Tribolium castaneum: one gene and its partners. The protein of the gene in region 5 binds, or shares a complex with, the protein of the main gene of each other region. Links are inferred from orthologs where the notes say so. Each region holds a gene or a part of one and is shown on either strand. Other genes may lie near its edges.

The links.
Region 1: E3 SUMO-protein ligase RanBP2 (region 5) and Nup107 share a complex: the UniProt entries of both Drosophila melanogaster proteins name them as parts of the nuclear pore complex. The link is inferred for Tribolium castaneum from reciprocal best matches to the Drosophila melanogaster genes Nup358 and Nup107.
Region 2: E3 SUMO-protein ligase RanBP2 (region 5) and Nup54 share a complex: the UniProt entries of both Drosophila melanogaster proteins name them as parts of the nuclear pore complex. The link is inferred for Tribolium castaneum from reciprocal best matches to the Drosophila melanogaster genes Nup358 and Nup54.
Region 3: E3 SUMO-protein ligase RanBP2 (region 5) and Nup214 share a complex: the UniProt entries of both Drosophila melanogaster proteins name them as parts of the nuclear pore complex. The link is inferred for Tribolium castaneum from reciprocal best matches to the Drosophila melanogaster genes Nup358 and Nup214.
Region 4: E3 SUMO-protein ligase RanBP2 (region 5) and Nup153 share a complex: the UniProt entries of both Drosophila melanogaster proteins name them as parts of the nuclear pore complex. The link is inferred for Tribolium castaneum from reciprocal best matches to the Drosophila melanogaster genes Nup358 and Nup153.
Region 6: E3 SUMO-protein ligase RanBP2 (region 5) and PCID2 share a complex: the UniProt entries of both Drosophila melanogaster proteins name them as parts of the nuclear pore complex. The link is inferred for Tribolium castaneum from reciprocal best matches to the Drosophila melanogaster genes Nup358 and PCID2.
Region 7: E3 SUMO-protein ligase RanBP2 (region 5) and Nup160 share a complex: the UniProt entries of both Drosophila melanogaster proteins name them as parts of the nuclear pore complex. The link is inferred for Tribolium castaneum from reciprocal best matches to the Drosophila melanogaster genes Nup358 and Nup160.

Annotation. Positions count from the first base shown.
Region 1 is NC_087395.1:26,509,555-26,514,434, reverse strand, and holds the start of Nup107 (nuclear pore complex protein Nup107), read right to left. Parts: upstream 3,134-4,880; 5' UTR 3,044-3,133; coding exon 2,180-3,043; intron 2,130-2,179; coding exon 1,968-2,129; intron 1,728-1,967; coding exon 1,267-1,727; intron 991-1,266; coding exon 123-990; intron 1-122. Other genes in the region: sodium-coupled monocarboxylate transporter 1, read right to left, coding at 4,450-4,786, 4,847-4,880. UniProt on the Drosophila melanogaster protein: Plays a role in nuclear pore complex (NPC) assembly and maintenance. Required for nuclear import of Mad. Mediates the association between the nuclear pore complex and a subset of active chromatin regions adjacent to lamin-associated domains.
Region 2 is NC_087397.1:2,066,410-2,071,333, forward strand, and holds the start of Nup54 (probable nucleoporin Nup54), read right to left. Parts: upstream 3,316-4,924; 5' UTR 3,216-3,315; coding exon 3,158-3,215; intron 2,702-3,157; exon of another isoform or gene 2,026-2,701; intron 1,976-2,025; exon of another isoform or gene 1,232-1,975; coding exon 491-1,231; intron 445-490; coding exon 1-444. Other genes in the region: sra (protein sarah), read left to right, coding at 3,712-3,904, 3,950-4,422. UniProt on the Drosophila melanogaster protein: Component of the nuclear pore complex (NPC), a complex required for the trafficking across the nuclear envelope. Essential for the nuclear import of nuclear localization signal (NLS)-containing proteins in an importin alpha/importin beta-dependent manner.
Region 3 is NC_087398.1:6,200,937-6,205,272, reverse strand, and holds the end of Nup214 (nuclear pore complex protein Nup214), read left to right. Parts: coding exon 1-53; intron 54-102; coding exon 103-3,299; intron 3,300-3,347; coding exon 3,348-3,375; 3' UTR 3,376-3,437; downstream 3,438-4,336. Other genes in the region: ribosome biogenesis protein WDR12 homolog, read right to left, coding at 3,451-4,336. UniProt on the Drosophila melanogaster protein: Part of the nuclear pore complex. Serves as a docking site in the receptor-mediated import of substrates across the nuclear pore complex including emb, RanGAP and phosphorylated Mad. Protects mbo/Nup88 from proteasomal degradation at the nuclear pore.
Region 4 is NC_087394.1:31,194,700-31,198,067, forward strand, and holds part of Nup153 (nuclear pore complex protein Nup153), read right to left. Parts: coding exon 1-3,368. UniProt on the Drosophila melanogaster protein: Component of the nuclear pore complex (NPC), a complex required for the trafficking across the nuclear envelope. Functions as a scaffolding element in the nuclear phase of the NPC.
Region 5 is NC_087394.1:28,914,596-28,918,811, reverse strand, and holds part of E3 SUMO-protein ligase RanBP2, read right to left. Parts: coding exon 1-4,216. UniProt on the Drosophila melanogaster protein: E3 SUMO-protein ligase. Component of the nuclear pore complex (NPC), a complex required for trafficking across the nuclear envelope.
Region 6 is NC_087397.1:8,459,618-8,463,844, reverse strand, and holds PCID2 (PCI domain-containing protein 2), read left to right. Parts: upstream 1-1,838; 5' UTR 1,839-1,993; intron 1,994-2,059; 5' UTR 2,060-2,071; coding exon 2,072-3,268; 3' UTR 3,269-3,357; downstream 3,358-4,227. UniProt on the Drosophila melanogaster protein: Required for the export of nuclear mRNAs and involved in mRNA trafficking in the cytoplasm.
Region 7 is NC_087395.1:25,113,796-25,118,451, forward strand, and holds the start of Nup160 (nuclear pore complex protein Nup160 homolog), read right to left. Parts: upstream 3,015-4,656; 5' UTR 2,919-3,014; coding exon 2,834-2,918; intron 2,785-2,833; coding exon 2,362-2,784; intron 2,201-2,361; coding exon 2,011-2,200; intron 1,961-2,010; coding exon 1,615-1,960; intron 1,567-1,614; coding exon 1,315-1,566; intron 1,097-1,314; coding exon 733-1,096; intron 680-732; coding exon 507-679; intron 208-506; coding exon 1-207. Other genes in the region: uncharacterized protein LOC655733, read right to left, coding at 3,144-3,336, 3,391-3,523, 3,571-3,918, 4,031-4,061; uncharacterized protein LOC103314347, read right to left, coding at 4,604-4,656. UniProt on the Drosophila melanogaster protein: Functions as a component of the nuclear pore complex (NPC). Involved in poly(A)+ RNA transport. Required for nuclear import of Mad. May play a role in double strand break DNA repair. Essential for nephrocyte development.

The DNA of each region.
Region 1 (4,880 bases), on a different chromosome or scaffold from region 5:
TTAAGCAATTCGTTGTGTCCAACGTTAGTTTATTTTTTTATATAAATATATTGTTTAAAAAAATGTTTACATTATTTTTGTTACTTACTCTTATATTTTAATTAATAACATTTCTCACTTACCTTGTAAAGTCCGTATTTCTTGGCCGCCACTAAATCGGCCAACTGCACCGCTTCTTCGTGCAGTCCAGACTCATTTAAAACCGAATACAATAGTAAAACAATCTGAGGAATACAAATTGATCGCAGATACTCAGCATCGTCTCCTCCTTCAAGCCACCCTTCAGGAAACAAAAGGACATTATATAATAAAGTTTTGGCCCTTTTTGCTGAATGCGATGTCGTCAATTTCCACCGTTCCGCTTCGGCATTAAACTGCGAGACTTTATGATTATGAGCAACTTTTTCAGTAAATTGTGCATTTTCGGGCAGTTCAGGTGGTGGCATCGGCTTATTCCTATACTGTCTAAACCACTCGTTAAACGCCTCATGTGCATCCAAATACGCTTTATAACTCAAATAATTCTTAACAATCTGATGAATCTGCTCTTCGCTGCGTATCTTCTCTATAGAATCGTAAGGAATTTTATTGATTGCCAATTGGGCTGCTTCTAATTTGCCCAAAATCAGAAATTTGAAAATAATAGAATTGGTTTGAGCCAATGCTTCGGCTCGTTGCTCCTCGTAAAACATCAGCCAATCAATAGCGGAGATTTTGAGTTCGTCGATTTCGGTGATTTTACCTTGGAGATTACCGGGAAGTTCGGATTCAGACGGTCGGCTTGTTATAATTTCGACGATTTGTTGCGTTATAGCAAATACGTCCAAACTGAAATCTTCAGCGTAAGTAAGGGCGTTTTTGCGTTGCTCAGTCGAAAGCAGTTTTTCGCAGTGTTTGGCGTAAAGTTGGATTTGTTTGGATTTTCCCAGCTTGCTCACGTAGAAGGCCACAAGCTGGGTTTCGTTCATTTCGCTCAAACGCTCGATATATCTAATTAAACAAATGATATTAAAACACAAGCAACGCAGCGGTGAGTAGCAAACACTTTATGTTTTTTTATAGAAGCTCGAAGTCAAATAAAACAAAAAATAATACCGTAGCTATAAAAAAGTGGTAAAAATATTAAAAGCAATAATTTAGTTCTGACGAGATTATGGTCAACATTAAGAACATAAAATACACTAGACACAAATTTTTTTATAGTCACCATACCGGGAGACTAAAGCGCCCGGCCTTAAGTCGAGTTATACAACCAAGAAAACTTACGTTTCGACGATTTTTTCACACGTTTTTCTATGAGTGGAGTCTCCGACGCTTTCAAAAAACAAAACTAAGTGAGCATAAAATCGAAGAGATTGTGTCGTAACACTTAGATCTTCACTCCACTGATCTAGGAGGCGTATCAGTGTGGGAATTTCGTCTAAAATGACAAGTTTCTGAATTACATGATCAATTTCATGCGCTTCTTTTGCAATGTCAATATTTTTCGAGGCTTCCAAAATTGTAAAAATTTCACTTAATGATTTCTTTTGTTCCCAATATTCTTCAGGTAGTGGTATGTAGTTTTTAATGATTGAGTCGCGAATTTCCGATTCAACACGAATATCGACCATGGTTCGCATGTAGGCCCACAGGTGGTCCTCCCATGTGGTACAAACGGGCAAAATGCCCTCCAAGAAACCACAAAGACTACCAATGGCGGCTTTTTCATAAATGTTCAAGTTTGACTGAAATTTTTTAGTAGTTTTTTCAAATTTATAAAACAGCCTCCTTGATAGATACGAAACTTCGTCTTCAGTCCTAAATTTGGTTAATTATTTTCCAGAAATTTTAAATAAATAAACATAAAATAAATACATGTTTTACAACTGCCAAAGTGACATCGGTTTATCTAGTAACAATGGTATCAAAAAAAAAGATAGCGAAGTTCCCGAACTGTCAAAGAGGCTGTGGAACGAAAAACTTACCCTATGACAATAATCTAATGCGCAAGATTTCCACAAATCCCGCCTTTGGTTCCCTTCTACGTCTTTATACTCTTCAAGACTTGTTTCCAGGTTGGGATTATGAAAAAGCTTCCAGCCTTCTAACATCGCAGCGCGCCATGGATAACCACTGTTGTAACATAACTGAAATTTAATTATTGAATAAATAATAAAAGGCTGAAAACAGCACAAACTTCCTGGGCGCCCTCAAGGTTGCCGCACCTAATTTCCATAAAAATTCTCTGACATAGTTTTTTGTCATTGTCGTAATCCAAGTGGTGCAGCGATAAGCGCTGAAACTGTGGCGCATCTGGATGTATGTTCTTGATAATATCCACATTACTCCCAATTGCAATAGCATCAGGTGCTAGCAATTGATGCAAAGTGTGTTCCCATCCATACGTCCAGTCTGAGTGCATTAAAATGGGGTCCCCCTTCTCCAGAGCGTTCCTCTCGAGCCAATCGATCACCAACTGGCTTTCCCTAACCAAATTCTCTCGTTTGAACAGTTCGCACACACAGTTCTTTTCACTGCTCCCGAAATCCTCCTCAAACCCTTCCTTACTGTGGTTCTGGGCCTGGATCCGATCCTGGTACAGGACATACAGCAGTCTCCAATTATTCCGCTCATTTTCGAGCCATTTCTCTTCGGCTAATTCACTAGTGGCCACTTTGGCTTTCAGTGACTTAACCACCGCCAAAGCGTCACTACAACACCTCGCCAAGTCTTCGGCCACGTCCAGGATATCAAGGCCTCCGGTGGACCCCTGCAGGATATCCGCAAACTCTGTATATAAATTATTAACAGTGTTTTTCCATGGAGTTCCTGCTTGGATCACCGACCCGGTGACCGTTTTGTCATCATCGACAAATAAAGACAAGGTGTTTTGATAAACACTTCCATATTCCAGGCCGGTTAAGTCTTCGGGGTTTATTGTAAAGCTGAGGTTAGGTTTTTCACGCTTTGGAGTTGCGGTCGAGACCTTAAATAGCCCTTTTGTGGGGGTCTGGAGAGCGTCTTCGAGAAGACGCACCGACCGTTCCAAATCATTATCCATTTTTAATAAAAAACACACACAAAAAGCCGTTGCATAACCTCAAAAAACAAGTCTAGCGTTGCCTCAGAGCGTTGCAAAGTCCCTAGATTCAGGTTGGTAACAGTTTTTCTTTTCCTCGATCGTCATTTGTTTCAAATTATCGCGTCTGTTTGTGTTTATCGTGTTTTTTGTTCAAATTGAAGGAAAATTGGTGAAAAAAGTGTTGAATTACGTAACTTAATTAAGTTCAATTTATAAATTGTGGTAGGAAACACCGGTTTTTTTCAAAAATTTGTAAATCATGTGTGAATACTGAATTTGGAAAAATGATGTTACTTAGTGTTAAGTGTAATTTTTACATAATTTGGTGATTCCAGTGACAAAGTAAGGTAAGGTGCATGTTTTTTTAACAAAATTTAACATTATAGCACATTATTGGTACTATTTTCGGAAATTCAGTGAATTTGGTTGGCAACACTTTTTCCATTATCGCGTCTCTCGTGTGTGCCCGGATCTTTTTTGTCTACATTTATGAAAAATTTGTGAAAAAGTTACCTTAATTACGTTTTTTTTATAAATTGTGGAAAAAAAACACCAGTTTTTCCCCGGATATTCCTAAATTCAGTTACTGTGACAATCAGGATTTGGAAGAATGAAGTGTTAAGTGTTAGTTTAGAAGTTCAGTGTTAATTTGGAAGTTTCAAGCACAAAGTAAGGTAACTTGCATGTTTTTCAACAAAATATTAGATTATTGCACATTATTGTGGGCATTATTTTTGGAAATTGGTGAAAAAGCAAGTTTTCTTGAAAACTTGTAAAAAACATCACTTTCCAAATATTTGTCAATTCATTTGTGGTTAGGAAAAGTACATTTTAAGCACAAAGTGAGGTAAATTGTACGCTTTTCAACAAAAATTAGATTACTGCACATTAGTGGTATGTATTTGTATTTTCGGAAATTCATTGACTTAAGATTCTGGAAATATTGGGCGACTTTTCAGTACTTGGAGCGTTTTTTTTTGTCAATAACTTCGGTTGTAGGCATTTAAAGGAGGCAAAAATCCACAAAATTTTTTTTATTTATATTATATTTTCGTTGGTAGCTTAAACTCTTTGAACAAACACTACGCTTATTATTAATTAAATATTATTGTACTAAAATGTTGTAATAAATACTCGTTGTTAGCACTAGTCTAAGCTTACAAAAGAAAATAAATATTTCAACACGTACGCGTATCAAGTTGTACAATCTTATTCAATAATAACAATGTAATAAGGTATAAAAATAGTTAAGTAGTCTTTGCATAATTCAACAATCGAACACTTGTATCTTATCAGCTAGAGATCACAGATGTTGCCAAATAAAAGGCACTAAAAACACGAGTCCGTGTCCATTTCTCACATCCATCTCTAGGAAGAAAGAAAAATCATAATTTGGTTCTGTACACTTCCATTTGTACGTCTTGAGTGAAAGCGGGATTCGCATTTCCGCTCTTTTTATCCATACTGGTGGCACTTGGCGAATGGTTCATCGATTCATTTCTCCGTGTTTTATGTTTGATGGTTTTCTCTGCGTAGCGTCGTTTTTTGCCAGGGAAAAAGTTGGCCATCTTGCGAGCGATGGGATGAATTAATTCTTGATCGTACAAATCGCTTTCGCTACCCGTGAAATAGGATACTGTCCAACCGATGAGTATGGAAATGAAGCATCCGATGAGAGAGTAGTACATGTAGGTCACTGAATAGAGTTGAGTTAGAGGGTCCCTGTAAGGGAGAATTACATGTTGTGCAAAAAGGGTGATTTTCAAGGGAAATATTACGTACGAAGGTGCAGCTCGTGTGGTGTTGATGACGTCGA
Region 2 (4,924 bases), on a different chromosome or scaffold from region 5:
TTCCGGTCACTCCCTTTTCCATAACCACGATTCGTAACTCGGATTGTGTATCAGAGAGGGCTTTGATGTGCTGGATGGTGACCTTGAGGTTGGGTTTGTTACCCAAAATGCCACTAAGTCCATTGATTAGAACTTGCTTTTGTGAACTAAGCTCGGCATATTTCCGGTTAAAAATCAACTTGACTATACCTTCCGTGTTATCATGTTCGGGAATTATGTTATAACCGACTGCTTTGAACCGATAAAACGGGTTATGAACTGTGTATTCAACCGGCGGTTGATTCGCACTGTAGTACCCTTTCCCCGTACCCCAACAAGCTTGCAACAAATTCCACTTTTTCAAAATATCATCCCTCTCATCATTATAAATATTAATAGCGTAAATCGATTGGATCACAAGTTGGTTTTGTTGTTGCTGTGTTGTGAGCGCATTTTGCGCAAACCCTACACAAAAATTACAGGTTCCTGTAATTGCTAGTCGGGTACTTACCTGGAGGTTGTGCCGGCTTGGCCCCAAACCCGCCCCCAAACAAACTCCCTTGTGTCTGTTGACCGAACCCTCCACTAGTCCCAAAACCCCCAAACCCCCCTGTTGTTTGCGTAGCCCCAAACCCCCCAAACAACGACGGCGCACTCGTCGTAGTAGTACCCCCGAATAAACCAAACCCTCCCCCTGTTGTACTCCCCCCAAACAGCCCCCCCGAAGTGGTGGCCGTGCCCCCGAACGAAGTCCCGAATAAACTCGGGGCCGAAGTTGTCGCAGTACCGAACAAACTCGGAGCTGGGGTACTGCCAGCTCCGAATAAACTAGGAGTCGAGGTGGTGACCCCCCCGAAAAGACTTGGGGCTTGTGTGGTGGTACCGCTCCCGAATAAACTGGGGGCCGAACTAGGGGTCGAAAATAACGAGGTTGAAGTGGTGGGAGTTCCGAAAAGGGTTGGTTTGGTTGTGGAAGTACCGAAAAGGCCGCCGCCGGTCGATTGACCGAAGCCGGTACCGAATGTCGGGGCTGAGGTTGATGCTGGGGCTCCGAAAGTCGAACCAAATGCTGGAGTGGAAGTTGCAGGAGTACCGAAAGTACTACCGAAACCTGAAGATTGAGCTGGGGCTCCGAAAGTTGAGCCGAAACCGGTCGACGGCTGCGAAGTGGCTCCGAAGGAAGAGCCGAAACTGCCGAAGCCGGTACTAGCCGTGGTGGTGGTTACCCCAAATGGGGTACCGAATGCGGTGGCTGTGGATAAACATTGGAAAAACATAAAACTATGACTAGGTGTTTACAAAAATTAATAAATAATCTAAGACGATAAGAAGTGTGCGTTTTAATTCAGGAAAAATCGAATAAATTGAATAAATTCAGCGAAATTTGTAGTTTTCCAAAGGAAATGGCTACGAAACCACAATCCTGAAATTATTTATTTTTCTATTTGGGTTGTTTCAACGAAAAGAAAAGAATTTCCATGAAAAAAGTATTTGTTACGGGGAAATGACCAAACGGAAACTACTCCTCGGTAAAAAATGCAAGTCAAACTTGAACTATGCGAATACTTATCGTGCAAAAAATACGCTGTTGTTAAGACTTAAATTTATGCAAAAACGAAATAAACACGAAATAAATGAAATTATTTCAATCCTTCAAGTGTCATTCCAGTCAAATTTTTTAAAAAGAATTTAAACACGTAGATAATTTCAAAACAAGTTTTTTTCGACTGCAGTGCCGCTTTCCCAATTTGTTATCACAAAATGACGGATTTTATTTATCCCAACCACAAGAAATTGCATTAAACAGCATTTTGTGACTCATCCCCGGGTTGTTATTTTACTGCGAATGGAAGGAAAGCAGGAAAACCGTGTTCGCACATATAAACACCAGCGATAAAAATTCAAAGCGTGGAAAGAAACTTTCAGTCGCCGATAAGTTCTTGCAGAGTTAAGTGTTTTTCCTTCGCTAATAAAAAGCACAATGTCGGGCCCTACGGTGAGTTTAATTTTTATTTTTCAAGTTGGATTTAAAAATTCCGATTCTAGCTATTCTCATTTCCTATCAAAGGGGCTACTAAAAGTTTTGGAACGACCCTTCAAGTCACAGACGATCAAAACGTACTCAAAATTGGGCAGAGTTTCACTCCCCCAGCTACTACCCTCATCAGCGAAATAACCAACAGTACGGTTACTGCAGAAACTGCTACCACTCCTGAGATTTCTCAAAATATTACAACAACGATTACCACCGTGATAACCGAAGTGACCGACAGTACGACCGAAACAATCGGTATTTTTGAAAACAACATCACTTCAGCAGTGGCCGAAATAAAAAACAGTACACAAAATACAACTTCAACCCCACTTGACGTATTTTCTTCAACTACGGATGTTTCGAACCAAATATATTACGAAGGATACGACGTTGAGGGAAAAACTTTGTACGTTGTTTTGGGAGTTATAATCGTCAGTCTGCTCTTAATTATCGTCATTCTTATCGTCGTTTATAAGCGATATAAAGCCAGCCGTTCAGGATCGCTTGATTGTGCAACCGATTTGAGCCAAGTTACCATCTCAAACGGAAGAATGAAATCGTATTAATTATATTTGTGATAATCTGTTATATTTTACTATCATTATATTTTTGTTACTCGCTTAGGTAGGTTTATTTATATCCTCAAAATGTTATTGCCGAAATAAATTCTTGGTTTATAAATTATAATCTAGGTTTTTTATTGAACACGTCCAGTTTTTCATGTTTTATCAGTTAAGTAATGAAATTACTTTTGTGTACTGTGCAGCACAGACGTGACAAAAAATTTAAGTTAAACACTAAACAAAACATTTTTTAGCGATTTGTTTCAAACAAAAATTGTTGAATTGTTACTCACACGTTAACAATCATCACAATTAAATTTTATAACCATTTAAAACACCAATTAACATTTTATCTGTAAAAAGTGTGGTGATTTGTATTGTTGAGTCTGAATGGTACAAAACGCTGCCACTTTTTCGATTTTTTCTGGTTAAAAATTAAGAACACAAACATTAGTCAGGCGTTTTGGGCAAAATTAAATCTCATTAATTACGGTTTAAAGGGAAAATAAATAAAACCGTGAATACCAAATAACAAAATAGAAAGAACTTAACCTAACTTTCTTACGGTTCTAAAACTTACGTTTATTTGCCGGGCTTCCAAAAGTCGACTGGTTTGCATTTCCGAACGAAAATGCCATAACTGCATTAAATTTAACGTTAGTATTTATATAAAAATAGTAATTACAATTTTTTATGTATTCACAAATTGAACTTAACGAATTGACAGAACTGTCAAACTTCAAACCTAGGTTATACACCGGCAATTTCACAAAATTTCAGCGTTTTCTGTACAAAAAAATACGAAATCAAAAAGTCGCTCATGTGTTTATGTTAATTATCTGGAAATCTATCCATTTCAGGGTTTTACGTTTTTTTAAGCTCATTCCTTTGTATTTCAATTCGGGCTGGCGAACTTTCGGCTTTCATCCCCTTGTCAAGTGTCATTCATTCCTGACATTTGGCATTTGCAATTGTTGGGTTGTGTTTTTTGCACTTTGATATTGCAATGTTTTTGTGTTAAAATTTAGTAGCGTAAGAGTTAGCCTTGATTAGTTTAGCCGAAAAAGTGCGCATTGTTTTATGGGGTTTAAACCGCGGTAGATCCTGTGTCGGTGAATTTAATCCAATTTTTCAATGGCTGAAAGCAACGGCGAAATGGACGACGATATCATCATTAACGACCAAGACGGCCTTCCCAACGTGCACCCCAACCTGCTGGCGGAGGCCGACATCGACAGCCCCGAGCATGTGACCGACGACGAGTTCGAGGACCTGCCGACGTCCCTCATCGTCACCAACATCCACGACAGTGTCTTCACCTCGCCCGGTAATCCGCCCCCAGCCCTCACCCGATCTGACCGTAAAATTGCAGAGAAAAAGCGCGAAATGGAGAACCTGTTCCGGAACTTCGACCCGGACGTGACATTCCAGTGGCTGCGCAGTTTCCGAAGACTGAGAGTGAACTTCCAGACGCCCGTGGCAGCCGCCAGCGCCCGCATTCAGCTCCACCAATACAAAATCAACGACTCAGTGATTACGTGTTACTTTGCTCAACCCGTCACCCCCGTCAAAAACCCCAGCCTGCAGCCGCCAGCCCCCTTCAAGCAGTTCCTAATCTCGCCGCCGGCGTCGCCCCCCCTCGACTGGGAGCCCCGGCCGGAAGGTGAGCCCATTATCAATCATGACCTTCTTGCAGCTTTGGCCACCCTCACGCCGGGGGCGTCGCACGAGGTGCACCCCCCCTCCCCCGGCCAGCCCAGCATCGTGGTGCACACGGCCCTGGGGGCGGACGGCGTGGGGGCCAAAGGCAGGATGCCACAGACGTCGTGTCCGGAACGGAGTTAATGATTTGTACAGGTCTTCAAGGTTATTTTAAGTGTGAGCTTCAGAGCCTCTCAATATGTCAATTTCTCTCTATGTAGAATCTGTCACTCATTTATTATGGAATTACGTGATTCATTTGTTGGTTGTAACTGTATCATTAATTTAACTCAATGTGATAATAAAGGTGTTGCTAATAAAAGATAATTTCCTAAAGTACTCAGCGGGAATTTGAGACAGGTTGGCCCTGAGTTTAATGCCATCAGCTGGCAACTTCAAACAGGAATCTGTAATTATTTATTGAAGAAAACAGCAACCAATTTTATATTCAACCTAGATTCAAGCAATTGATTATGAAATTGGGGTGGAAAAAATTATCAGAAGTACTCAGTTTAGAAGAAATTTTCTTTTTGTAATTACAAAACTCGAGAACTTCCTTTGTATGTTTATTAATGACAACGAATTTAAATGTTTAGTTCATGCTAGTCTTTAGTCTGTGATTTTTTCTCTTTTCACCAGATTATTT
Region 3 (4,336 bases), on a different chromosome or scaffold from region 5:
TGGAGATGATTTTCCAAACCATGGTGAAACAAAACGCAATTTTGCAAAAACAAGTAAGGCAGTTGATTGACTTGTAGGTTTCGTTAATTATTTCGTTCGTAGAGTTATATTTTGAAAGATATAGCCAGTAGGATTAAAAAAAAGTCGCGATCGGCCGTTGGTCCTTCTCTCCTTGTTCCTTTTGATGATGTTAAAGACCTGTCCGAGGATTTGAAACGTTTGAGGATGAACCCTGAAGACATCAGCCAACTTCAGTATGAACACGTCATAAATCGAACGAAAAATTTCACGAAAAAGAAAGTCCAAGATTTGCGGACTTTTCTCCAAAAAAGAGAATATCCACATATTTCATTCGTGAAGCCTCAATTGGCCAGTTCCGTAATCCAAACTCCGCCAAAACAACTTAGTCGGCTTCCCGAAAAAACTTCAGTTGCACCTCGGGTTCTCGATTTTGCGCAGTCAACTCCCAAACCCACTGTGCTCAAATTCGACTCCACGGCAACTCCAATCGAAGGTTTACAAAATTTAGCCCTTAAATTCGAGGCTAAAAATTTCACAAATTTGCCCGAGAAAACTTTCACGCCTTTGACTAAAAACGTGATTGCTGGGTCTCCAAATTCGGCTTTTGTCTCAACTTCGGTTTCTGCATCAGCAAATACTTACAAACCCACCTTCATGGCTGCAACTACAGCCGTGACAGCGTCTATTATTAAAACAAGTCCCAGTTTTGTGGCAGTGACTAGTACTGCAACCATGCAAGCACCTAAATCGTTTGTTAATTTGTCTTCCCAACCAGTTACTAGCAGTACCCCAAAGGTGGGGACAAACCTCTTTGCCACATCTTTGCCTAAAACTACATTTTCGTTCAGTTTACAAACTACTAGTGCGGCGCCCATTTTAACAAGTAGTGCAGCGACTACCAAACCCAGTACGTCTATTTCTGTTTTTAATCTATCCACGAGTGTTAGTACTACCGCGGAAAGTACGATTTTTACGAAAACTTCTACTCCGTCATTTGGTATTGCTACCACCACAGCACCAACCTCCACCCAGTTTTCGTTCGGTGGCGCTACTAATACTTCAAGTATTTTCGGTGCAGCAACACAAAAAGTGACCGAAGCTGCGACATCGAAAACCTTTACGTTTTCTACAAAGCCAGTAGTTACTTCTGCAACAAGTACTCCAAATGTGGTGGTTTCTGCCGTTTCCCCCGTTGCTAGCAGTACCCAACGTTCAATTTTCCCTACGACTTCTGTAACAACCAGTCCTAAAACAACGCAAGCTGTCTCGAGTCCAGTCTCAATCCAACCCACTTTTGGTGTAACAGCTCCAAATTCAGTTAGTACTACCAGTGGCACTCCATCAACTCAGTCCTCACCGTTTTCATTGGGGGCACTTAAATCATCTATTTTTCCCTCACCGGCTGTTCCTGCCGTAACTACAACACCGAAAATCGCCACCAGTGCGGCCACTGTTGTTACTACAGCTGTTACAACTACCGGTGTTACAGCTCCTGTTGTTACAACAGTCCCATCTTCAACTAGTATTTTCTCAACGCCAGCAACAACTCCATCAATTTTCGCTTCGCCAGCAACAACTTCAACAATTTTCTCTTCGCCAGCAACAACGTCATCAATTTTCTCTTCGCCAGCAACAACTTCATCAATTTTCTCTTCGCCAGCGACAACTTCATCAATTTTCGGCTCTATTGTTAGTAGTACTACTCAGTCTCCAACCATATCTTCAGCTCCGCCCACAACTGGGTTTTTCGGTGGTGCTCTTTCAACTAAACCACTCTTTGGTGGTACCGAAGTTAGCGCCTCGAAACCGTCAATATTTAGCAGCACAACTGCATCAAGTGTTTTTGGGGCTGTTGCAACCACGGATTCAAACGTTTCGAAACCATCCATCTTCGGAGCCCTGCCATCATCCTCCACTACAGCTTCTGTCTTTGGTACTGTTGCAAGTACCGATAGTAATGTATCAAAGCCGTCAATTTTTGGCAATGTTTCGTCAAGTACTTCACCAGCGACTGTTTTTGGCGCTACCACACCTACCACTCAGATTTTTGGTGGTGCTACCCCTTTGTCTACTAGTTCATTTGGGGCTGCAGCTACGACACAATCGTCAATTTTCGGCTCTCCCACTACCCCAGTTTTTGGAACTCCTGTTGGTACCACTCAGTCGACTTTTGCCAGTCCTACAACGACAACTCAATCTCAAGGGTTCGGTCTTTTTGGAGACGCCGCCCAAAAGCCTTCCCTATTTAATGCAAAACCAAATGCGACTCAACCGTCAATATTCGGAAGCACACAGCCGTCGATATTTGGTGGTACCACAACTTCTTCAACGTTCGGCCAAAGCCAGCCCTTCGATGGGAGCAAAAATACAAGCGCTTTTGGTCAAGGTTCTGTTTTTGGTTCGTCAGGTAGTACGAACGTTTTCGGGGGTTCAGCACCCGCTTTTGGCCAAACGGGTGGTTCCGTCTTTGGAAATGCACCAACTACGAGCTCTGGGAGCATTTTTGGGGCAACGACTACAAGCGGAGGTACTTTCGGTACTAGTGGATCTTTATTCGGAGCACCTGCGTCCACTGCCCCCTCACTTTTTGGGGCACCTGCATCTACGACTCCCTCTATTTTCGGTTCGTCGAATGTCTTCGCCCCTGCCACTACTCAGTCCGGTACTTTCGGCACCAATACCAGTTCCGGAACGTTCGGTTTCGGAAGTCTCAATGTTTCAACGACTGCAAGTTCGGGTTTCGGTGCACCTGCGAACCCCTTCGGGGGCGATAAGAGCGTTTTCGGAGCCTCTCCAGTGTCGTCAAGTGGCTCAGTTTTCGGTTCCAGTGGTGGATCGCTCTTCAGTAACACGTCCCAGAGTTTTGGTACCGGTTTCGGGAACCAATCTTCCTTCGGCCAACAGTCGTCCTTCTTCGGGGGTAGCAGTTTCGGTCAGCAACCTGCGGGGCCCTTCAGTGGTGGGAGTGGAACTGTGGGACAAACCGGGTTTGGGGCAGGTCAGAGCTTCCAAAAACCGGGATTTGGGGCAGCTCCCGTTTTCGGGGGATCGCCCAGTTTCGGGAGTTCGCCTAGTTTTGGAGGAGCGCCGGCGTTTGGCAGCCCACCGGCTTTTGGGAATACTTCAAAGGTGTTTGGGTCCTCAAGCCCCGGGTTTGGGGCAGCTGCTAGTACCCAGAACACAGCTTTTGGTAATTTAGCCAATCAACCAACAGTAGGGTTTGGGAATTTGGCACAGCAAGCTGCCAACGCCCCAGCGCAGAGTGCGCCGTTCTCTGGGTAAGAATTTTTAAACTGATAAATGGCATAGTACATTTTTTTTTGTAGGAGCTCCTCATTCTCCAGTTGGCGTTAATGAAGGAAAATGTTTTACGTTAAATTTTGTAAGCTGAAACTAATAAATTTTTTTAAAATTAATTTTATTTTTCACTTAAAACACATAATTATTTCTGAAAATGTGTACACTATTGTCGCACCCTCCAGAGACCAGATACTTGTTATTGGACCAATCTACAGCTAGGACTTGCCCTTGGTGTCCCTCTAAATTATAAAGTGGGGCTTTAGGGCTTCTGGAATCCCACAATTTGACACCAGAATCGTATCCTCCCGACATAAAAAGGTGTTCATCGTATTTTGACCATTCAATTGAACTGACCCATAGCGTATGTGAGGTGAAAGTAGTCTTGACCACTGAACCCTCTGAAGACCTTGGGTCGTACAACCGAATATGTCTATCAGCTGAACATGCTAATAATGTGTTAGATAGGGAAGACCAAGAAGAATCCAAAAATGCCTTCTGGCCAACTATTTCATTCTTGATACCACACAACTCAGCATCCCAAAATTTAATCGTATGGTCCATTGACACAGTGCAAATTACATGGTTGTCAATCCAGGAAGTCGAAGTTATGGTTTCTTTATGGCCTTTTAATGTGTGAATGGGGGTCCTGGTAATCAGATTTTTGTCTCCTCTTACTTTTTTGTGTGCAGGTTCGTCGTCACTTTCAAACGATGAGGACCAAATCTTTAGGTTTGTGTCCCATCCTCCTGTTGCAATTTTAAGACAGTTGGGACTAACCCCCACACTGTCTATCCCTTTTTCATGACCTTTTAACACAACTTGAGGTTTTATCTGATCTGTCCCAGGCTCCCACTGCCACAGCAGTCCCGTAAGATCATGAGAAACACTTATGAAACCTTGTGAGGGATTGGTTTGGTTTATCCATGCCACTTTTTTTACAATATTTTTATGTTCTTTTTGCGATGTAACAAGTTTTCCATGCGTTGTCCATATGTTCACAGAGTAGTCGTAACAT
Region 4 (3,368 bases), about 2.3 Mb from region 5:
CGCCGTCCCGAAAACACTCCCCCCGGCATTAAACGGCTGACTCTCCACTTTGGGCGCACCACCAAAGTTAAACCCGGCACTAGGCACCGAGAAGCTAAACCCTGTATTTGGCGCACTTGACGCCCCTGCTGCTGCACTCCCAAAATTGAAAACGGGCGTCGTATTCGGTTTCTCGGCCTGACCGAACGAAAAACCCGCATTTTTGGGGGCACTTTCGAACGCAAACGGCTTGCTTTCGCTCGTCCCGAAGCTCTGGGACGCCCCAAAGGCTGGAATTTTCGGAACCGAACCGAAGCCATTGGTTACGTTATTGTCAGCGGGCTCGTCGAAAGCCCGCTTGGTCGAAAGTTGGTTTGGCGAGGCGGTGGCACCACCGAATTTGAAAATGCCGGCTGCTGGGGCCGCCGATGGCAGACTCGGGGCGCTCTCGGGGGGTTTTGGCGTGAAAGTGAAAGTGGGTGTTGCTGAGGGACCCGCGAATATGTTACTGCTTTCGGTGGGTTTGGTGCCGAATAGCACCTCCTTCGGTTTGTTGGCGTCGCCTCCAAAGAGGGTTTCTTGCGGCTTGTTTGTGTCCACAGTGGTGAATAACCCGGCTTGGGGTTTATTCGGTTCGGTGGTGCTTCCGAAAATTGATTCTTTTGGTTTGTTGGCATCGGTGTTGCCGAAGAGAGAACTTGAGGGTTTGTTCACGTTGCCGAAAAGTGAGTCTTTCGGCTTACTGGCGCTGCCGAACGGTGAGTCGCTCGGTTTACTTGCACTTCCGAATGGGAGATCTGCAGGTTTGTTACTGACAAAGGGTGATTCGGTTGGCTTGCTGGGGGTACCAAAGGGTGACTCTTGGGGCTTGCTAGCGGCGGTAGCAAATGGGGAACTTTGCGTCTTACTCCCGAAAGGTGAGTCTTGATTCTTCGGTTCGGCACTGAAAGGACTCTCCTTAACCGGTTCGGTGGCCAACACCGGTTTGTCCTTATTTTCGCTACCAAACTTGATATCGCCGTTCACAGCCGGGGGTTTGAACTGGAACATGGGAGCCGGTTTCGTTCCGAAACTGCTCGTAGTAGTCGGCGTTTCCGTTTTATTAGTACTATCACTACTACTCGTCACTACAGACTCCTGAGTCTTATCAAGGCCAAATTTGAAACCAACCGGCGCAGGCGTTGCTTTCTCCGGCAATTTCTCGCTAGGTTTAAGTAAGGGATTACTGGCGACGGTCACGTTCTCACTTGAGGTAACAGTATTTGTTGGCGTAACTTTTTCCTGAGTATTTATTCCGAAACTAAAACTACTACTTGTTACTGCAGTCGACTTCGCAGCATCGCCGAATGCAAATGTAGGTGGCGCACTTGTAGTACTAGCTTTTAGTTCGCTACTAGTGCTCGGTATACCAAACTTGAATTGGGGTGCGTTTGATTTATCTATACCGAAGTTGAACCCAATTAAAGGTTTCTTTTCCCCGGTCGTCACATCCGAGGATTTCCCACCAGATTTGGCAACTCCACAACAAACACAAACATTATCTGTGGGTTTATTCTTGACAAGACACGAAGAACACTCCCATTCTCCTCCTTTCATCTTGAAAGCGTCTCCAAAACCTTTTTTCTCCGTTTCACTCTCTCTGGGCATCTCACAGGCTGCACACTGCGTCAGTTCGTTCTTATTCTTAATCAGGCATGTTTTGCACTCCCACTCTTGTTTGATACCGAAGGAGAATATCGGTGCTGTCATGGGTTTCACACTCGTAGGCTTGGCACCTGGTTTAGGGGTCTCACAAGCCGCACATTTATCCACCGTATTTTTGTTTCTAATCATGCAAGTAGCACACTCCCAGGTGTCTCCCGATGGCTTGAACTTGTCTCCAAAACTACCACTGGGCGTCTTGGATGCACCACAGGCTGCACAACTCTCCAGTTCGTTCTTATTCCTAATTAGACAAGACGTGCACTCCCAGGTCGATGCAGGCGGTTTGAAGGCATCTCCAAATCCGGATTTAGCCACCGGTTTGTCTTCTCCTGCTTTGGAAGAGCCACAAGCCACGCAAGTTTTATCCGAATTGTTATTCCGCACCATGCACGAGTTGCATTCCCACTTGTCACTCGACATTTTAAATTGTTCGCCAAACCCTTTCGTTTCCTTCTTTTCGGGCTGAGGTTTGGGCTCATCACAGGCACAACATTTGTCTTTGTCGATGTCGTTTCGGACGAGACAAGTCGGACATTCCCATCTTTGTGACGGCGGCTTTTTCAGCACATCCATTACGCTTCCTGTTGATAATTGACTAGCCGGTTTTGCGATACTTGGGACATTTTCGCCGTTGTTTTTTGGTTTAATTTCGCTCTTGCTTTCGGCCGATTTAAACATGAGTCCTGTGTGCGTTGATTGTTTCTTACATACCGGTTCGCTGAATTTGAAACAATTGATCGCAGTTACAGACTTTAAGTCTTTTGAAATCACTAACGGTTCGGAAAATGTGAAACTGGACTTTCCATTTTCCACGATTTTCTTCTCAGTCTCTTTTTTATCTACAATCACCGTGGGTTTAATTACAGTACTAACCGGGGATTTGGGAGTTTTAGTTTCGTTTTGATTCTTGGTGGTTTCGCTTGAATTGCTGGGTGGCATTAAAACGAAATCGAACTTAGGTAAGGTGCTTATTGGGAGTGAAACTTTCGGCAATTTCACCTCACTGACTGGCTCAATAGGTGGCACTTTTTGCCGCACCGAGGCCACGCTGCTCTTCATTTTATTGCTATGTTTCTGCTTGTTGTCCTCCTCCGTCCTGATTTTATACTCTTCCTTATTCAGCGACGACTTCGACTTTGTGGCAATTTGTCTAACAGTCTCTGTGCTATTTTGTAGTCGCTCCTTTTGCTTCATCTGCAATAAATCAGGAACGGACGGTACTTGGAGCTCCTTATTCGAAGGCCGTTTCCGGTCTCTCACTAGATAAGGAGTTGCCCCGACATAAGACGACAGCAATCCTGGTCTTCTCGGCGTGACTGGTATTTTTTTAGCGTCGCTTATTGGAGTGCTGTATTGTTCTAAAGTGCTCAGAATTCTACGTGCGGTCTTACTTAAGGTCGCATTTTCGCTTGGAGGTTTTTCGTTTACGGGTTTTATTTGTACAGAGACTCTAGAATTCGTTTCTTCGCTAATTTTACCTAACCTACGTCCGTATGCAGAGGCGCCGCCATAAATTGTATTGCCGCTATAGAAAGGTGAGCTCAATATTCTCTTGGTAGACAATGTTCTGTCAATAAAGTTCGGCGAGCCGAAAGTCGATGCGTTAAACGATGGCCGTCTTGAACTCAAAGAAGTGTTCATGTTGGGGCTTCTTTCCGAGAATAAAGTACGTCCGCTTGATTCGT
Region 5 (4,216 bases):
TTACCCGACACGCAGTTATTTTCATCGAGTGACTCTTGAGCGGTTTGGATGGCTTTCAAGAACGAATTAGCCAGCTCTTCTGTTTTGAATCTTATAGCCAGCGTTTCCGGTTTAAGGACGCCTTCAGAGAAGTCTTTCGCGCACCAAGTCAGTGCTTTGGGATTATTTGTCATGAATTTAAATTCCATGTTTTTGAGTAGTTGGTGGTTACAACACACTTTCAAGACTTGGTCTCGCCTCATGACTAGTCTGATGGTTGTTGCGTCCTTAAGCAGTTTGAAAACACCAACTCCTTTCTCCTTCCATACTTTCGTTTCTTCACTCGTGTCAAAACGGAGGATTTTCGCTCGGCTCTCAAACAAGACTTCGCAATTTTCTTCGCCAGTTTTGACTTCGACTAATTCGGGCAAAGGCACGACTGGTTTGAACTCAGCCGTTGGAACAAACTCTTCAGTCTCATCATCGACCGGTTCCTTAGCTTTGCCACCTGGGCTTTCACTTTGTTTCTGAACTGGTGAAAAGTTAGTTTGGAACGTGGGAAAACTCGTGTTTTTCGTAGAACCGAACACAAAGTTCGAGAAAGGACTAGCTTTAACCGGCTCCTCTTTCATAACAGGTATGACAACTTTCTCCTCCTTGGGCTTAAAAGTCGGCGTGCTCGTGAAAACAAAACCACCAAGAGAGGCGGGTTTTGGCGCCGCCTCTTTACTTTCCTCGGTGTCTAACCCCTTTTTGGCCGCTTCAAACACATCGTAAAACTTCTTCGCTTCTTCGGACGTCTTAAACCTCACACACAACTTCTCCAACACGACTTCTTCATCGGCGTAATCGTGCGCCGCCCAAATGTACGCCCTGTCACACTTGGCATTCGGAGTCAGCGCCATTTCTTTCGTAATAAAATGATTGGCACATATCTTATGCACTTGATCTCTGCGCATCAAAATGCGAACTTTCTTCGTTTCCGGGTTCTTCAAAATCTTCAAAGTGCCCACACCGCGTTCCTTCCACTCCTTAGTCTCGGTGACGTACCGGAACAACCTAGCGCGTTCGCAGAACAACACCACATCGTTTTCCTCGCCGGTCACAACCGGAACTTCGTCCGGAAGCGGAATAATCGGCTTAAAATCGGGACACGGGTCGTGTTCTTCAAGCGAACTCGTCGAAACGTTGCTCTTATTCAACGACTCGTTCTTGCTCGCATTGTAACTCTGTTCGAGGGTTTTTTCGATTTGCAAGCCCAGACTGACATTGACCGGGGTTTTATCCGACACGGCGGAGTAAACCGGCGGTGCGACATTCGACAAAATACTCTGAGTTGAAATGGCCGGCGGTGGTTTACTCAAAACTGACGGCGAGGTGTTGGGGGCTGTGGTGGTCGGGAGGGGAATTTGGTAATTGTGAGGTTGGCTTTTGGGGACGTTGCCTTTCAAATGTTGGGGCGGAATGGTGACTGAAAGGATGGGTTGGGTGGTCGTAACCTTGGGTGTGGGCAAGGGATCAGAGGCTGTAATAACAACATTCACAGGAGGGGCTTTCGTTGTGGGTGTCGTTGTGACGGTAACACCTCCAATCGTCGGGAAAACACTCTGACTGGTGGCTGGCGTGGTCTTAAATAATGGGTTAGGGGTGGAAATCCCTTGCGCCTGAGCCGTGAGTAGGTTAAGGCCAGTTTGGGGTGTAGTTTGGCCGTAGGTTACTGCAGGTTGTTGCACTTGTGACAAGGCGGCGGAAATCGCGCGGAAGTCCTGCCCGGAAATTCCCGGAATTTGTTCCTGAGGGAACGGCAACGCACCGCCCTGGGGCAAGCCTAGACCGCCGTAGGCGTACGCCATGGGCGGGTACATGCCCGGGTATAAGGGCGGAGGGCCATAGAGCGACGTTCCGGGCATTCTCGCCTGATAGTTCTGGTAGAAATTCGAATTGTAAGCCGCCAAGTTCGAATTTAAGTTGTACTCAGCACCGTATTCGTTCGCCAAGCCATAGATATCCTCATCACTTAACTGTCCAGTCTTGTTAACTTCTTTCCTCAACTCCGTCAGTTCCTTCTTCATTTCGTAGACCATGTCGGTGATGTTCTTAAAACTGTCCAATTCGTCCACAGACGCCTTCAATTCGTTCACCGACTTTTTCACGTCTTTCAACTCCTCGTAACTGTGTTTCACCGTCTTAAGTTCATCGACAGTCACCGTGAGGTTATTAACAGCGTCTTTGAAACTTCTCAACTCATCTACTAGGGTTTTGTGCGACTCCATCATCATTTTATTGTGTTCTAGAATATGGTTAATGGCAGCGTCTTTCGACGCTGTTAGCTGTCTCAATTGGGCATCGAGTCGTTCAGGGCTCGGTTTGGCCTCACGTTTGAAAAGATCGGACCGGTAAGGAGTGGAATGATTGTGATTTTCCGCCCTTGGTGTAAAAACCCCGTTAAAGTAACTTGAAGTATTGCCAGTGTATCCCGTTACGTAGTGATCACCGGTGCTATCAGGCGATGAGACGTTTTCGTCCGACATCCCATCACACTCATTCCTGTTGGTACAGTCCGGGTCAATTCTAGACAACAAGCGCTCGATTTTCTCAATCTCAGTCCCCAACTGTTCGTTTAAGGGGTGCTTCTGATCGACTGACGGTTCCCTAAGCCGATCCAGCGTCAAGTAGAGACAATCCCTAGCACGCGAGAGCAGGATTATATTCTGACTGCGCATCTCCGAAGTCACACTCTCCCGATTCTGACTCGTTTGTTGATCAGCCATGTGTTTGTAGATCTGAGCCTGGTAAAAACTCGCATACGGGTCTCTCAAAGTTTCGAAAATGCGCAACGCTTTTTCGTTCTCCTTCTTCTTCATGAGTTGGCAACCGCTGAATAATTTCGCGGCCTCGATATGGGCACAAATCTCAGTCAAAGGCATGTCTTTCGACTTGTAATTGAACAGTTTATTAGGGGGGTACGAAACCGCTTGATTGTTCTTCATTTTTTCCAAAATCGGTAACGCCGCTTTGTAGTACAGCTCGGCTCGCGCCTCGTTAAACTCAATCTCGGACTGTTTTGTCGTGTTTTTGGACCGTTCGGCGAATGTCTGTGCCAGTGTCACTAGAAGCTTGACGTCTAAACTGTTATCCACACACCGGAGAATTTTTATTCCGTCCACCAAAGTCAGTCTCAGTTGATCCAAACCGGAGTCGTATTCATTCTTGTACATTTTGTAGGCCGCCTTGAAGAAAATATTTTGGTTGTGAGTGCCCAACTCTTGCGTCACGGCGGCCGGAAGTACGTTAGGTTTGTCGAGATTGTAGTACGAAATGTGGCGCAGATTTTCCTGATTGTATTTGGAACACAAGGTGGCGCAGTAAATAAACGCCTGGACGTCCAACACGTTCAGAGTTTCGGCGCCGCAATTTTTCAGGTTCTTGATCGAGTATTGCAAACCTTCGAACACTGTGCATTTCAAATCGGATAGTTTGTTATTCAGTGCGATCCAAATGTGGTGGTGTAAAGAGTCGGGGAATATCAACTGTGCCTCTTCGTCGTATTTAAGCAATTCGCCACTTTCCGGCAACCTTATTGTGATTTCTAGTAGTTTTTGGTCGCTCAAAAAGTAACTTGTTTTCATTTTCAGTTGTTGGTCACGTGTGACGAACAATTTTTTAAACAATTGCTCTCGCCACATGCCCACTGAATACTGGTTGGCTTTCTCGATGAGTATCGACTTCCGGTCTTTGGCAGCCGCTTGTAAAACATGCCCGGCTTGTGAACACCTGAACGCGGCTTCCTTTCGCCACCTCCGTACCAAATTTCTGCGATTTTCAGGCGCGTGGTTGAACCACATGCTTTGTAGATCGGGTGGCTGTGAGTGATAAGCCGCGAAAAGTAGCGGTAGAGTGATATTTGCGGCTTCCTTGTACTTAATAAGATCTTTTTGTGCTTGTTTAAACACCAAAGTGACGAAATGGAAGCACAACTGCGCGCTGTGGTGATTCAGAAATTCTTGAATGAGGTGTTTGTCGGGACAATCGCCGATGTTGAGAGCAGCTTTTGTCAAAGTTTGGTCAAAGTTAAATATTGCATTGATGTATTCGGTTGTAGTTTTGATATTTTCGCTGGTTTCGGACAAAGTCAATGCGGCCAATTTGTCCAGAACGGAGACCGACAAAAACCAAAACTCCCAACCGAGCGAGTTAGGCAACGAAACCGTTCTTTGGTACTTGACCAAGACCTCGG
Region 6 (4,227 bases), on a different chromosome or scaffold from region 5:
ATTAGTTTGGTCAGCATGTAGTAAACATTGCCTAAACAGCATGCTAGAGAATTAATCAATTGATCACAAATTAAACTGACGTTCAGTTTTTATCAATGGTCCCAAAACGTGTAATAATACGCGTTAAGTCATGTTATGCAACGAATTTGCATGCGGAATTTCGTGTTAATTAACGGGGAAACATGATCTTGGCTTTTTGCGTGTGCTATTTGCCTTGGCAGTGAGCTACAAAATTTTATAATTGTTTCGTTCTACAAAAGAATTTATTTACTCGCAGTTGAATAAAATGAAGTTACGACTACAAGGATGCGAACTGATTGACCCAGTTTGTTTAAATTTCTATCGTGTTGGACTGCTCCAGACTGCATGTCTAGTGCAAATTCTTATCAGACTTCAACAAATTGATTTTTATTGTGCTCTGAATCATCTAAAGAAGGCTCGATTTTTCATAGTTTATAAACGGAACGAAATCAACTAGTCCAAACCAACTTAATGCAATACGAGTTGATTAAGTGCACTACTATTGAACATTAAATGGAAAAATATTTACATAAAATATTTACAGAATTTAGATATGGATGTGAGCCCTCTGTTCGCCTAAAAATATTTTCAAGTTTCTAGCTTTACTCAGAAGAAAAATATGAGGAAATGAAGATGTGAACACAAATTTGCTTTATATTAATTTTTGAATTTTTTTACATAAACGTCTTTTTTACAGTGAAGGCTATTCCAAATCAAAAAAAAAACTTTCGGATTTAAATTCAGCTAAAAAAATTACATCAGAATCATATTTCAGTAAACGTGTCAATTCTGTTAAATAGTTCTTTATTTTTGATTCTTTTTTAAGTTGTTAATAATTACGTTGCATTTCTCAAACTATCATAATCATTAATCACACAGACATTCAAGATATAGAATATTGCTTTTTTATATTGTTTTATTTTAAAATTATAAAATGTAGATATAGAAAAAATAACTTTTTATGGTACATAATAAGGCATACTAAAAGTATTTAAAGCAAATTTGGAATTCTGTGTAATTATTTAGCTTGTCATGCAGTAAAAATATACTTTTGCTGGGACACCCTGTAAAATTTGTTTTTAAATTTTATAGATGAACATAAAAACCTTTTATATGCTTTTGTACGGTCATCATTTAAAACATAACTTGTTTGTAATTTAAACGTCGTCTACCTACTTATACTTATAAGTTTTTTTTTGTAAAATATGGTTTTGTTTTTTAAGTAGCACTATACAAACAAATACTTTTAAGTTCGTAATGTGTAGCTTTAGTTTCTAATAAACAGTACTTAATTTTTTTGTTTCATAAGGAGCTAAAAGTAAACTACAATTAACGTTTAAATTGCTTATTATACTGATTTATGGGTCTGGCACGTGAAGCATTATTAAAGTTTAAAATAGCAAAGAAGTAAATAATTTCTTTCCATAAATTCCATTACTAGGCGCTTTAAATTCATTATTGTTGAAGTTATTACTTTCCTGTGTAATGGATTTTTAAATTATGATTTATCCTTGACTAGAATAATAAAACGTTTTCACGACTGTGTTTATAATTTCCTAAAAATTTTTTAATAAAATCAAGTTGGATAAGTTCCCGGTCAAGTTGCATCAAGCTGTTCCTCGGAGCGCCATCTCTGTGTGGGAAGAAAACATGCGGCTTGCGAACTGGTCTACGAACAGTTTTCGTTTTTATGGCATTTTACTTCCAGGATTTGCATTAATTTAATCCCTATTATTAGTACTATGGGACATATAACACGAATTAAGCTCAAATATCTTAAATTTTGTTAGGTCACAGAAATTATTATTGATTTTACTTGTATGAATCGCACCGCTCCCTATCGGCCATTTTATCACCATTGCAAAGACTTGTTTATTTTCAAGCTTATTCAAACATTTTTTCGTCAAACTCGTAAGACATAATGTTCTTTGCGTAACGGAAGCAACAAATATAACACTTGTGCCTAAATCACGTGAGTAACAGTTCAATTTCATTTATAAATGAAGCGGTTTCGGTTAACTGACGCCCCTAACCTTAGTTTTTCAGCAAAATGACTTTTATGTCCGTTGCTCATTACCTACAACTTGTGGAAAGGTATTGGCGGTCTCAGGACGGTGCAAAAGTGGCCAGTTTTCTGTCTCTTCGCCACGAACATGCAGGTTATGCCAATTACCACATTGAGAGTCCTGAGGGAATAGTTGAGCGTTTTTTGACCGCCCCTATCGACGAATTAGTGATTTTGCACCTAAAATGCCTGTTTGCCATAAGCCAGAGTGACTATCTATCGGCTTATAACATTCAGAGCAATTTGACGCAAACTTTCACTAAGATCTTGCAATCGCAAAAGGAGGAGAATTGGTCTTTGCCTATTATGTATGTCTTGTGCTTAGACTTGCGTCTTTTGGCGCAATTAGCCGAGAATCAGAGGAGCGGAATTAATGAGAAGCCCGGCGAAATGCTCGAGAAGGCAGCAGAATGCTTGATGGGTTGTTTCAGGGTGTGTGCTGCTGATAATAGGTCAGCAGAGGAGGATACAAAGAGGATAGGGATGTTGGCTTTGGTGAATCAATTGTTTAAGGTTTATTTTCGGATAAATAAGCTACATTTGTGCAAGCCCTTAATCAGAGCGATTGAGTCATCACCGTTTAAAGAGAGTTTTTCTCTGAGCCAACAAATCACATATCGGTATTTTGTGGGGCGCAAGGCTATGTTTGATAGCGATTATAAAGTCGCCGATGAGTATTTAACTTATGCTTTTGAAAATTGTCACAAGCTCAGTAAGAAGAACAAAACGCTTATATTGATTTACTTAGTTCCTGTGAAAATGTTGTTGGGGTATATCCCAAGCAAGGAGGTTCTGGAGAAGTATGACGTCATCCAGTTGTGGGATTTAGTACAAGCTGTATGTCAGGGTAATCTCAAAGCGTTTGACGAGATTATGGAAAAGCACGAAACCTTTTTCATCAAGTGTGGAATATATCTGATTGTTGATAAACTGAAAATCATAGCATATAGAAATTTGTTTAAAAAGGTGTATTTGATTCTAAATACGCATCAAATCCCTATTGAAGCACTGCAGACTGCTTTAGTGTATTTAGGACAGACTGATGTTGATTTGGATGAAACAGAATGTATTGTTGCTAATCTTATTTATGAAGGGAAAATTAAAGGATACATTTCGCATCAACATAGGAAGGTTGTTGTTAGTAAACAGAATCCATTTCCGCCACTTACAAGTCTATCATAATTAAGTTTTTATAAGTTTGTATAATTCGTCGTTCTCTACCTGCATTGTAACTATTTTGTAATTGCATATGAAATAAACTGTTAAAACTACCCGTTTTTTGTGTTTTATTAAAGCATAAACGTAACGTCTATAAATCTCTATACTGCGAAGTGACTAAGCGACCCTGCTGTCATAAGAAAAAAGCTAAATGTTGTATGCATAATAAAAACCGCATTAAAAATGTTTATGGAATTTTTATTTTATTAAAAATTGCTTTTGTTATTCGAAGAGGTCACAACTACAGTTGTTTTTTTTTAAATTGCTCAGATTTAATCTCGATACGAATCGTTTTGAAAATCAATAATGCATATTAAATCACCTAATGATTATGCCCATATAGGTAAAAAATATTCGTTTAAGCTTTACATAATAGATACGAAGTTAATACCGAATACATCCTTTAAATGTACTGTAAATATTATATTACATATTGCGAAATTTTGCACAAAAGGATTTATTTTCCCATAGGTAACTTTGTTACCCGAAAATTAAACTCATACATTTTATATGGAAATTTTATCATAGTCAAAAACTATTTAGTTTTTTATTATAAATTATTTCCAAACAAAATGTCACTATTATATAGTTGTTAATCCATTCTATGATTAAATAATTTTTTTACAAATCAATATTTCCACAAAAATTTCATTTTACCTAATTTAATAATTCTTCTCAAAAAACGTATTTAATAAACGCCGGAAAATGCAATAAAATTTGTATTTCTGTATTGTTTAATTCATTTGAATATTAATTGCTAAAAAATTACGTTTTGTACTGACAGCTTGAAAATGCAAAATAATGTAATGATGTAATGATAAACTCAATTTATTTTTATTTGCTTTTTTAGTCCGATTTAGTGAAAACATGTTATTATAAAAACAAATATGGAATTCATGATAAATTTAATTTATTTAATTAAT
Region 7 (4,656 bases), on a different chromosome or scaffold from region 5:
CCGGACTTGGATCTGCTGTCGGAGACATCCTGTAACCATCGAAACACCCAACTGCGAGGTGAAAATGTGGTTTATTGAGGCTTGAACGCTGTCGATGGGCTCCTCTGGCTGGATTTGGTACTCGATTCGGAGCAATTCGAGGATTTTGTGGATGGATTGGTACAAATCGGTGCAATCGCGCACCATCTCGGCCACGTGCTCGGTGAACTAGAGCACAAATCGGGCGGTTTTTGCTTAACTATTTACGCGAGATCGAAAAAATACGCGAAAGCTCAAAAACTACAATAAATTGCAGTGCTTTAAATAATTTTAAAATTCTTCAAGAGTTTTCCGTAAATGATTTGAGCAGATATCAACAGAAGCAGCTGTCATTAAAATTTTCTGTGATATAAATATAAGAATGGTTCGCCAGGCGCCACGGTAAAAGTACCAGATAATAAATTGTAAAACGTTTTTTAGGGCTCAAAAGCCCCAGAATATTTTTTTAACATAAAAAAAGTACGAACCTCGGTGTCCATCTCGCGCTGGATCTGCTCAAGGAGAGCCCCCATGACGACATCAGGCGACTTCAGCAGTGCCAACTCTCGTTCGAACGTGTACGCGAAAATCTCACTCATCTGCGAATCCAAATAATTAATGACCTTGAACAAACTGATCACGTCGTCTGTGATATCAACATCTGCAAAAAATGAACCAATCACAATTGATTAATTAACTGTGCGGTTTAATTACTCTCAGACAAGAGGAAATATTTGGTGAATTGGTCCCTAAACATGTGGTCGCTTTCGTAGATGAAATGTTCAAAAATATCGAGAGGTCGCAAAAACGAAATCATGGATTTTTTCAAAAGTACGGCCCCGGAGGAGTTTGGAAGAACAAGGAGGCCTAAAGGTTTAAGTCCAGCGACGTGGTATTGGACGCAACAGGAGTAGAATTGTTGCCAGCAGTAGCTGGCGGTTTCGAGATAATCTTCGTCGCTGACGACGGTTTCCTTCAGCTCGTTTTGGACCTCGTCTTCGACGGCCATGCAGATCTGCTGCTTGAGATGGGCCGCCGAGAGGTTCAAGTCGCTGATGACGGCCGAGCGTTTGTAAATCTATAATAAGCAGTTGGTGTGACAAAAAACGCGCAATAATTTTTATGTATATTTTTTAAATAAAAGGTTTGAAAAGCAACAATTTGTTATTTTGTCGGGTCGCCAGGAGTCACATTAATTGTGCCTCAACCAAATAAGAAACTAAGAGGTTTAGAGAAAAACAAATGGCACATTTTCGAAAAATACAGTAAAAAAATCAGCTTGACTTGAAAACTTACGTTCAAAGCCTTGCTGATTATATGCAAGGGGAACCTGCCCGGGTGGAAGATGTGCTGGAGGTAGCTCTGCCTGGGATCCGTCTCCCCGTCGATGCTCAACGGTTGGCTGGCGTCTGGCACATTTTCCAGAACCACGGGAATCCAGTGACTCCCCGCCTGGTTCGAGGCCGAATACACCTCACATTGGCCCTCTTTTCCGCGCCAAACCGACCAAATCCGACTTGTCGAGATCGTAAAATCGATCAAATCGGTCTAAAACCCCAAACTTACCCCCTATCACTTATCCCACCTACGACTCACCTGAGCCAAATCAAGTATATTAAGCCTCACTAGCCGAACCTGCGAGCCACTGAGCATCGGCTTGAACACATGCAACTGACTCTTGGCTGCGAAACTCATGAAAATACCCAACAGACACTCAGAATCAAACCCATCGACGGCTTTCCGCAGGATGTGGTTCTGAGCGCCTTGCAGCTGGTTTCTGGCGCCGGTTTCGGCCATGACGTCGATCACTGAGACACATTCGGCCTTTGAGCACGACCAGAATTTCAAATGACCGTTGCGGCAAAGTGTCAAAGCGAAAGTTTCAAGACCGAAAGTATGTAAAATGAGGCTGACGGTAGTGTCGCCTTCTTTGTCTTTTTGGCTGCAAAAAAACCGTCAGTTTTCCGGGCCGGAAAAAATGAAGGGTTGTACCGCAGCTTGTCGGCGAGACCTGAGAGAAAGCGGGGCACGATTGACTCGCTTTTTAGCTCAGCTGAGTCGATTTTGCCCTCGGGGGACTGTCTCAGAAGGAGGATCTCGCCGGAGTGGTAGGCCAACACGAAAATTGCTTCCTCCTCAGCGAGGGTCAGGGAAGAGGCGGCCAGATATGGCAGCTGAGAACCTTTAAATAAGGGTTCATCTAGTCATGAGAAGTCCAATATTTTAAATAATCATGCAAACGTATCTAATTTTGCCATTTGGCAAACCTATTTAAAAAAAATTATGATTTGCTCGTTACGACACTCGTCTCCGGCTCGTGACTTAAAAAATTACAAGACCTACTCGAATTGGTGAAAAAGTGGAATGTGGCGGGATCCCTCGCCTCGTTGGCCGTAGCTTCGCTGAACACCGACGGCGCCGCCAGATCTGGGTGAACCCCCGCGACATGGTCCTGCCGGTGGTACTTATCCGGATGCGGAAACACCAACCTATGGACGCTGCACACCGTGGGCACCAGAACCACCACATTATCGTACGTCTCATGGATGGAAACCCCGTCCAAAATCGGGGTGTCCACAAATTTGTATCTGATGCGATTTCCGGCGAGATTTATATCGAGACTGTGCTCCACGAGCTCCAGGACATCGTGGCTAATCCTCCAGTAGATAAACCGATTCCTGGTGTGGTGTCTGGTCGAGTCGCGGTAACAAAACCCGTTGGCCCTTTCCGCGACTTTGATATCTTGAAGCGTCCCTTGTGTCCCCCCTGTTACATAACCTCAGTTTTACGTAATCGGCGATTTTTGTGATATTACCCGTGTTGAGGGTGATTTCGCGCCAGGGATCGGACACCGTCTGGTCGGGGATCACCTCCCGGTACCCCAACGCGATTTCTTGCATGGTTTTAGCCCGTTTTAACGGTTTTTTGTGCAAAAGTTAGGTTAGGTTTACGGAAACAAAAAATCAAGGTCGGCGAGTGGCGGTTAGATAATTTTCAAACTCAGGTTAACTCGCCACCAGAGGGCGCGGGGTCAGAAAATAAGACAAAATTCTACTTATTTATTTATTTATCGTACATTTATAACAAAAATAACATTTATAATACGTGGAGGGATAATATAATAACTATGAGAATAGCTTGGTTGAAGTGAATGATGCTAGGAGGAGTAGAACGCTGCTGAAGCCAATGGAAATAGCTGAGTTACAGGGTTTGCGAATTGCTTGGAAAAATCGGTTGTTTAACGACTCAAAAGCGGCGAAATCGGGACAACTACGGGCTATCGCCTCACTGAAGCACTTCTTGGACGCTTTTAAGTCACTAGAATCAGAAGAAAGATGAAAAAGTTGGGTTTGTAATCATGGGGGCACCTACAGGCACAGGTCGTCTTTCCGGACCACGTCGCTAAACCGAGCGAATAGTTTAGTAAAGCAGTTTCCAACTTGTTGCCCCTCTTGGTTGAGTTTCAAGTTTTGGCGGCAATCTGCCCCTTGGGTACTGAAGAAATCTGTATTTTCCTTGATAAAAAATAGTTTTCAAAATTTTAAATCTTACTTTCGATGGTTCTTTGGGAACACACAAAGTCGAGAAATGAGGTGAAGCTTTCAACCATGAACTTGGGCAAATACTTCTCGTCTTTGGGCAAACACGGTTTGACATCATGGGCAAGCTGGGCGGCTAGACGGGCCAGTGTGGGCCTTTCGTCGTTGCAGAACTGCTCCTTACCATTGGGCAATAAACTCGCAGCGTACGAAAGATAATCGCCAAATTGCCCCAAATGGGTCTTTATATCATCGTAAGCCGAAGCGTCTGTGCTATAAACCCGACACCTATCATAGATAAACCTGGAGATTTTGTCAGAGGAGTTCCCCTGCTGGCCCGCCACACTCGCCAAAACAAGCCCTGAAAAGTTTCGGTCAAATATTGCGTAATTTCGAGTGGGCTTGGGTCAAAACAAACGAACCCATGTGTCACATTTTCCAAGCCAACCATGACCTACAAACAAAAATCTCACCTGCAACAACGAGGAAACTTGTAATTTTCATGACCAATCCTGGAAATTGACCTTTTGAAGTGTGCACTGCGGATTATTTATACAGACGCTAGAACGTCACGCGACCTTCTATTTCTCTTCAAACCAACATTTTAATGAAAAGGAACAAGTGCAATATGTGCAGAAAAATATAAACTCGCGGAACCCATTTTGTTGACGCGATGAATTGGGGGCTGCATAAAAATGACCGATTCGTCATCGGTCAACGAAAATCCGCGCACTTTTCGAGGAAATTCACTTATGTTATGACTCAATTTGCTACAAATTCTTAATCGATAAACGAATGAGAAAAATGCGCGTTTAACGCGAGCAACCGCTGACGCGTGCTTTTTACAAAAATAAAACAATTAAAAAAATCTTGTTTCCAATTTTCCGAATTTAAACTTTTTTTTGGTTTTTTTTTCATGATTGGTTAATTTATTTAAAAGACAAGTGGTTTTAACAACTTTATATTCATCTAAATACAAAAACTGTAAGTACATAGGTACACAGAAAAATAAATAGAGCACAAGTATCATGCGTCATATTAATTAATTAAGCTCGAGTAATTAGACTCAAAACCACCCCAGTTGCGACCGCAGCGCCAC